Macaca mulatta: one gene and its partner. The protein of the gene in region 2 purifies or fractionates together with the protein of the main gene of each other region. This does not show direct contact. Links are inferred from orthologs where the notes say so. Each region holds a gene or a part of one and is shown on either strand. Other genes may lie near its edges. The genes, in order: SMARCA1 and CECR2.

Region 1 (3,821 bases), on a different chromosome or scaffold from region 2:
TATATATGATATGTATATTTATATATTATATATTATATAAATATGTTATGTATAATATATATTTATGCTGATACTAGATATATATTTTTTATATATTTTATATATCATATATTATATATATCTGGTAGCATAAATACATCACTAAAGACCAGATCCTTCATGTTTAGACAGGCTGCAGCCAAGAGCTGCTTGGGGCAAATAATCCTGGTCCTTCCATTGTCCAACTTACCAAGCTCCTCCCCCTCTGAACTGACAATAGTCTTCAAATCAGAATACCTAAATATAAGGAGCTACAGACCCTTGCTTTAAGGGATCCTCTGCCACACACCCAACAGTTGCTCAACCAGGGATGAGTACTTATGCAACTGACTACTAACTATACTAGACGCCATAGGGCACATATCATCATGTGGCTCTTCTGGATAATAGTGGTCACAAGTATGGTTTCAGAGTCACATAAATACGAATATTATTGAGTTATATGGATTTAGAACTTTCCCTGCCCTCTCTTAAATCCCATTTTATTAATTTGGTCTTCAAATACAAATATAGGCCTTCATATATTCCCCTTTTAGCTGATGAATTAGCATCTTACGTGCCTTACTTTTTCCTGTTCGGTTATTTTATTACACATTTATAACTCCTTCACTGATTTCCAAAGCCCCACCATGCACTGTACTGTATCAAGATTCAGCATTACTCTTTATTCGTTCCTTATTCCACCTATGCACTTTTTGATTGTTCACAAGTCAAAATATTGATATTCATTCACACATGCATATATTCAGTCAGTCATTTATGTATTGCTTGGTTTGTATACCCCGCCTTATTCCCAAAAGGATTTCAGGTAGCCTACAATCAAAACATGGAACATAAATTGATGGCAAAATAGAAATAAAGAGACGACAAGGAAAGTAAGAAAGACAAGTAGATAAAGAATAGGAAAAGACAGAAGGACACATGGGGCAGACCATTAAAGGTTACATAAAGTCAGGGTGGGGGTGGTTCACACCTGTAATCCCAGCACTTTGGGAGGCCGAGGCGGGTGGATCACGAGGTCAGGAGTTCAAGACCAGCCTGGCCAAAATGGTGAAACCCCATCTCTACTAAAAATACAAAAAAAGTTAGCCGGATGTGGTGGCAGGTGCCTGTAATCCCAGCTACTCAGGAGGCTGAGACAGAGAACTGCTTGAACCCGGGAGGTGGAGGCTGCAGTGAGCTGAGATCGTGCCACTGCACTCTAGTCTGGGTGACAGAGCAAGACTCCATCTCAAAAAAATTTTTTTTAAAAAGTTACATAAAGGCATCATTTGGGCATCCATCTTCACTCTGTGCTTCCTGGAAGCCAAACTGCAAACAAAAACAAAAGTACAGGGAAGGTTTTTGGACCACTTGAGGAAAGCAGAGTTTTATGGCCTGTGAAAGTCTGTGTTCTAGCGGTTACTTAACAAAACAATTCTAGCCAGGTGCTGTGGCTCACACCTGTAATCCTAACACTTTGGGAAGTCGAGGTGGGAGGACTGCTTGAGCCCAGGAGTTCAAAATCAGTCTGGTTGACATGGCGAGACCTGTCTCTACTAAAAATAAAAATAAAAATTAGCCCAGTGTGGTGGGCACGTGCCTGGAGTCGCAGCTTCTCAGGAGGCTGAGGCAGGAGGAGCGCTTGAACCCAGGAAGTCGAGGATGCAGTGAGCCGAGATTGCACCACTGCACTCAAGCCTGGACAACACAGAGAAACCCTCTCTCAAAAAAATAATAATAATTCTAAGGCTACAAAATACCTTTTACATGGTAACAACTTTAAAAAAGCCTCCAGGCATCGGGGAGCGGGGGCAGGTAAGCTCAGGTTTTTCAAATTTACATAAAAATCATTGATAACTGAGAATGTGGTTTTAGCTACCGATTCCTTACCATTTCATCAGCCAAAATGCCATTGACTCCATTTTCATATAAAGATATCAACCAATTCAGTCCTCGAATCTGATAATCTCTCAGTGGCCCCCCTTTCACATCTGGGGAAAAAATGCAAGGACGTTTCATACTTTCATTAATATACTCAAGTAAAATTTTTCTAAAACTAAATTGAAAAAGAACTCACCAATGTGATGAAGTACTTACATGAAGGTGATACCTCAAATCTAATACACACATTAGATGTTTTCCGACTCTCCGACAGTAGCTCTTCATCTTCTTCTTGCTCTGTGCGCCTGTGGCGGTAGCTGAAATTAAAAAAGGAAATCCCTTCATATTCGACCCAAATGCTAAGGTATCAATTAAATCAGTGTACATGGCTATTATCTTTTACAGAAAAAGAATGAGTTGTCCAAGGTATTGCTTAGAAATCGGTAGAACCAGCCTACATTTTTACTGATCAGCCTCTAGTGAGAAAAAAATATAGGTGTCTTCAAAACATAATTATAATGGCAATACCCTTATTTTTTGTCACATGAAGGTATACTGAACAATAAAGAGGGAAGGGGTGCATGAAGGGATCAGGGAGGACAGGAGGAAGAAAAGGCAGGAGAAAGGAAAGAAAATAGAGAGAGAGGTGCCAACATACTCTCCAGCAGAAATTAAGCTCTGCTTTTCATCTTTCTTTATTCGAGGACGTCCCAATTTCATGTTCAGTGGAGATGTTGGAGATTTCTGTGCTGAAGGCTGAATGAAATGTGCAAAAAGTTCTGTCTGCTTCAGTAAAAATTCAAATCTCTTTGCTCGGTCGGCTTTCTAATTTGCAAAACAAAAGAAAAGTAAGGACTTTGCTTTTCATTCCTTCAAAGTCATTTAACGAATACTTGCATTGCATTTACTTTGTACAACACTCTTAGCACTTTAAACATACTAATCCACTCAATTATCTTAAGAAACCTATGACGTAGTTACAGGTATCATCTCCACTGTAACTACATGCTACTGAAGCACAGAGAGGGTAAGTAATTTGCCCAACCTTGCACAGCTAATAAATAGCAGAATTTGAAAATGTATTTTCAAATAGTTTGAAGGGAAGAAAAATGATCTGACAGACAGTAAATTCCCCAGTAACAAATATCCTTCTTAAAGAGTCATAATCATAAAGCAAATCTCTTTCCAAAACATTATTTTATTAAATAAAATAGTAACAAAATTAAGCATCAAATATGTAACATATCCCAAATATTGAAATATAAATTAACTATTATATATATATACCATAAACTGAACTCTTAAGAATTTTCAAGTTGTATCCAGAAATAACTTAAATCTTAAAATACAGTATCATCTTGTCTCAAAATATTTTCAATGTCATGGTATAGTAATGTAACAAACAGTCCTCTCTTCACTCACAGGGATCTAGAAAACTGTATTTTATGCTAGTAGCATATAAACTTTCTCCCCAAAGTAAGCAGAATTTGGGAAAAATATATAAACACACACACATATATGTGAAATAGTTAATATATATTAACTATTAAAAGTTGATATGTATTCTAATTTCTCAATACATTGTAAAAGGTCAGGGAACATGTACCATATACAGGCAATAAAACTTTGTTTCACTAAAAAATCTTAAAAGATCAAAAGACATATACATCATTCTAGATAAAGGAAAAAATAGACTATTTATTTATTCAAAGTCGCTTTCCAACCACAGAGTAAAGAATAGTTGATTGCTAATGAAGGATGCATAATTAATAACCCAGAAAACTTACAGAAGAGTTCATTAACATAAATATAAGAGTTAGATAAATTCAGACCATGAGCTGGAAGGAGGCCAAAAACTTTCCATTTTATGTTATCCTCACTGGAATGTTATTTTTAGAGTTGTTAAAACATTGCCTACC
Region 2 (3,821 bases):
CACAAAAGACAATTCTAACAAATAAAAGATGCAACCTGGGTAAACTATGAGTTTAATTCACCTTTAGGGCACATTATATTGCAGAGCTATGGATGCAAGATGAAGAAGACATGGTTTCTATCCTAAGATGCCCAAGGCTGTATGGTTGGGACAGGGCCTCTAGGACTATTAAATCAAACCAGGCTGAGCACAGTAACTTATGCCTGTGATTCCAGCATTTTGGGAGGCCAAGGCAGGAGGATCACTTGAGCCCAGGAGTTCCAAGACCAGACCGGGCAAGAATGCGAGATGTCCGTCCCTACCAAAAAGAAAACATTAGCCAGGTGTGGTGGTGCTTGCCCATAGTCCCAGCCACTTGGGACTGAGGGAGGAGGATCCCTTGAGCCCAAGAATTTGAGGCTGCAGTGAGCCATGTCTGCGCTACTGCACTGCAGCTTGGGTGACAGAGCGAAATCCTGTCTCAAAGTAAGTAAAAAAAAAAAAAAAAAAAAAAAAGCCAGTAAAAATTTAATTCTTTAAGGCTAAACTGCAGAAATACTAAATAAAAAATGGCTGAATCTGCTGTTTTTAAGCAGGGCATTTTGAGTTAATGCATAAATGACCCAAAGTAGGAGGAGCCATTTCTACTTTGATATTACAGATCTACTACGCCAGCTTCTCCAGATGGTTGAAGAGTCAGCTCTATCTAGTGGTTAAAGAGGCACACACAGTATTAGCCAGAACCAGACTGGTCTCCAGGATGAGCCAGTTAGGCGCCAGCTGCACTCTCTTGTCCTGCGGGCCAGGAGAGTCCCTGGCAGATACTGTGGTAAGCGGCTAGAATGGTCAATCCCATGATTTTTCATACACATTCTGCTCACTGTCCTACAGAAAAGTCACTAGGGCGTGTATTTATAAAAGAGAAGGCATTTTATTCTTGATTACAGATATGTATCTAGTGCAAACTCCTTCCCCGCTTACCACTACTTTCCCCATTATACTTTCGACAATTCCTGAACATGGTCTTCATGTCATTTACAAATTCCTCCTTGGTACAGTATAAACCTCCATTCAGTTTCTTCTCCATGCTGGAAATATCCATGGGGGCCTAAATGAGACACATAACTCTTTATAGTTAAAGTATGCTGAGAGCAAAACGTTTCATAGAGAGAGAGACGGAGAGAGAATGAGGATTCAGCAATGCTGCTCTGTAACGAATAACAGATAAAACGAGAAACATGACATGAACTTTCAACAGTTGAAAAGAAAAATACATCAAAAATATATACATGAAACAAGAAACAAATGACAAAACCCAAGAAAGATACACAGACTATAGTAGGCATTACTGCAAACACAACTTCTACCTTAATAATCTGATAATAGTTAGGGGCATAAGATTCATCCACAGGTTCCAAAAAGGGCCAGGAATCCTTGTGAGCCTTTACCACGTCTAGAACTGAGAGCCAGAGAAGAGATCTTAATTAACACACGCACAGAGGAAAATGTCCATCACAAACGGAACAGTGGAGAATGGGAACTAACCTTTATACATAGCAGTGAAATCATCGTCCAACTCAAAGCTGTAAATCATAAAATAAGAAATTAATAGTAACTCTGACCACCTTCTCTCCTGAGCCCTCTCAGGTCTATCGCAGACACACCTGACTGAAGTAAGATTTGGAATAGTCCTAATAGTGTGGTTTAGATGAGCCTGTGATACTGATAACGCTCCTAGAAATACAAAATGAGGGACAGTGGACCTTAGCAAAACCGGGAATTTCACTTCCCTCATCTATAAAATGGGGGGTTGCTAGATGATCCAGAACTTTATGGTTCTAGAATGTTGGTTATTTAATTGCACATTCTTTATTTCTTCACTTATTTTGAGACAGGATCTTGCTCTGTCGCCTAGGCTGGAGTGAAGTGGCGTGATCACAGCTGACGGCAGCCTCGATTTCCTGGGCTCCAGCAATCCTCTCATCTTAGCCTCCTGAATAGCTGGGACTACAGGTGTGTGCTATCATGCCTGGGGAATTTTTGTATTTTTGGTAGAGGTGAGGTTTCACCATGTTGCCCAGGCTTTATAGCACAATCTTTTTTTTTTCTTCTTTTAGACAGAGTCTGACTCTGTCACCCAGGCTGGAGTGCAGTGGCACGATTTCGGCTCACTGCAACCTCCGCCTCCTAGGTTCAAGCGATTCTCCTCCCTCAGCCTCCTGAGCAGCTGGGATTACAGGCATGTGCCACCACGCCCGGCTAATTTCAAACAAAATTTTTATTAGAGACAGGGTTTCACCATATTGGCCGGGCTGCTCTCGAACTCCTGACTTCAGGTGATCTGCCTGCCTCACCTTCCCAAAGTGCTGGGATTATAGGCGTGAGCCCTGCCTATAGCACATTCTTAACCAGGTTTTATTTTACTTTTAATTCAAAAAAGCATACGATGAATGAGCTCAAGAACACTGAATGTGTACCTGCCTTTTGAATTTTCAGTGAGCAGTAAAGTCACATGGTACCTAGTAACCTCACGGGAAGTAATAACCTCAAACAGATAAACTGCTATTCACATTTCCAAGGAGCTCATTTACATAATAATCAGATTCTGATTTCATTAAATTAAGGGGATGAGGAAAGAAGAGCTTAGCATAAGTCTTACTTCTGCTCCCACAGAGTGTGGCAGCAAGAGTGTCAGAGGCCGGGGTAGCCAGGTATGTCTGTGTGTGCCTGAGGAAGGGCACCGGGGTCAGCTGTGAGTGCAGGGCCCGCCCCATGCACTGGCACATGGTGACAATGTTACCCACCAGGGCTGTTCTAAGGATGACACGGGGAAAGTGCCTGAGTGCTTCGTAAATGCTACCAGTTGCTACTGTTGCTGTTGTTATTAAATACTCACAGGTCTTTAGTCTTTTTTTCCTCTCTCATGGGGGAATTGGGGTCCAGATGGGAAAGTTCTGGAGGGAGCTCCTTCCCTTGAGCCAGCAGCCATGCCCTTTCTTCCCTGAGCTTTCTCCTCTTCGCTCGATCTACAACGAACACAAAGGCTGAGCGAGCTGCGCACGCTCCAGACGCTGACGTGGCGTGTTCCTTCATCATTGTGAGAGAAGGAAGACACCAGGCCACCAAAGCAGGATTATGAAGCAACTTCTGCTCCCTGTGCCACCCTCTCTTGGGTAATCAGGATGTTTCCACAGATGGAATGCTTTCAGACATGGGTAAACTAACTAATTGAACCTGTTTCCTCACTCACACTGAGCTTGAGGTGGGGAACGAAGGTGACAGGGCAGGCACAGGGTGGGCAGGAGGGAAGGGAGCAAGGCAGAAGAAAACACAATGGCAGTTGAAGAAAAAGGAAAAAGTACAAGGTTGAATGAGGACTATCTTCTTGGATTACTTGAGGCCATTCTGATCTTTTACTTAAAAAAAGCAACATCCGCAAATCCTTTTTTAGGACCAGACTCTCAGTCCACACACACACACAGGATTTTAAATGCACGCCCCAGCTCTTCACGTTCTGTGTTTATGAAGGCATCCACGCAAGCAATGGTCTGCTCCCCACCCCACGCCTACAGCAAGCAGCAGGCCCTGCCACCAGTGGGAGTTTGGCTGAGAAGAGGGGAAAGATGCCAGCTGGGACTGGCAAGGAGCTGGAAGGCAGGGATGATTTTTTCCCTGGCTCCCAGCCACAGCCATGAGCAGCACACTTGGCATTCCACTCCCAGCCTGATGGAGCACTTACCACTTGCAGGGAACAAGGAGGTAGGGGCCAAAGAAAAGAGGCAAGGAGAAAAATGTGACTGCCAGACAGCAAGGCACAAAGATGGAAGGGAGGAGAAGCCAGC

Evidence for each region.
Region 1: the proteins of CECR2 (region 2) and SMARCA1 purify together in Homo sapiens (affinity purification with mass spectrometry; 3 studies listed by BioGRID and IntAct, with this or other methods). This does not show direct contact. The link is inferred for Macaca mulatta from reciprocal best matches to the Homo sapiens genes CECR2 and SMARCA1.

The regions. Positions count from the first base shown.
Region 1 is NC_133426.1:135,975,050-135,978,870, forward strand, and holds part of SMARCA1 (SWI/SNF-related matrix-associated actin-dependent regulator of chromatin subfamily A member 1), read right to left. Parts: intron 2,728-3,821; coding exon 2,561-2,727; intron 2,220-2,560; coding exon 2,119-2,219; intron 2,013-2,118; coding exon 1,912-2,012; intron 1-1,911.
Region 2 is NC_133415.1:34,541,043-34,544,863, forward strand, and holds part of CECR2 (chromatin remodeling regulator CECR2), read right to left. Parts: intron 3,006-3,821; coding exon 2,876-3,005; intron 1,563-2,875; coding exon 1,525-1,562; intron 1,439-1,524; coding exon 1,347-1,438; intron 1,088-1,346; coding exon 961-1,087; intron 1-960. UniProt on the Homo sapiens protein: Regulatory subunit of the ATP-dependent CERF-1 and CERF-5 ISWI chromatin remodeling complexes, which form ordered nucleosome arrays on chromatin and facilitate access to DNA during DNA-templated processes such as DNA replication, transcription, and repair.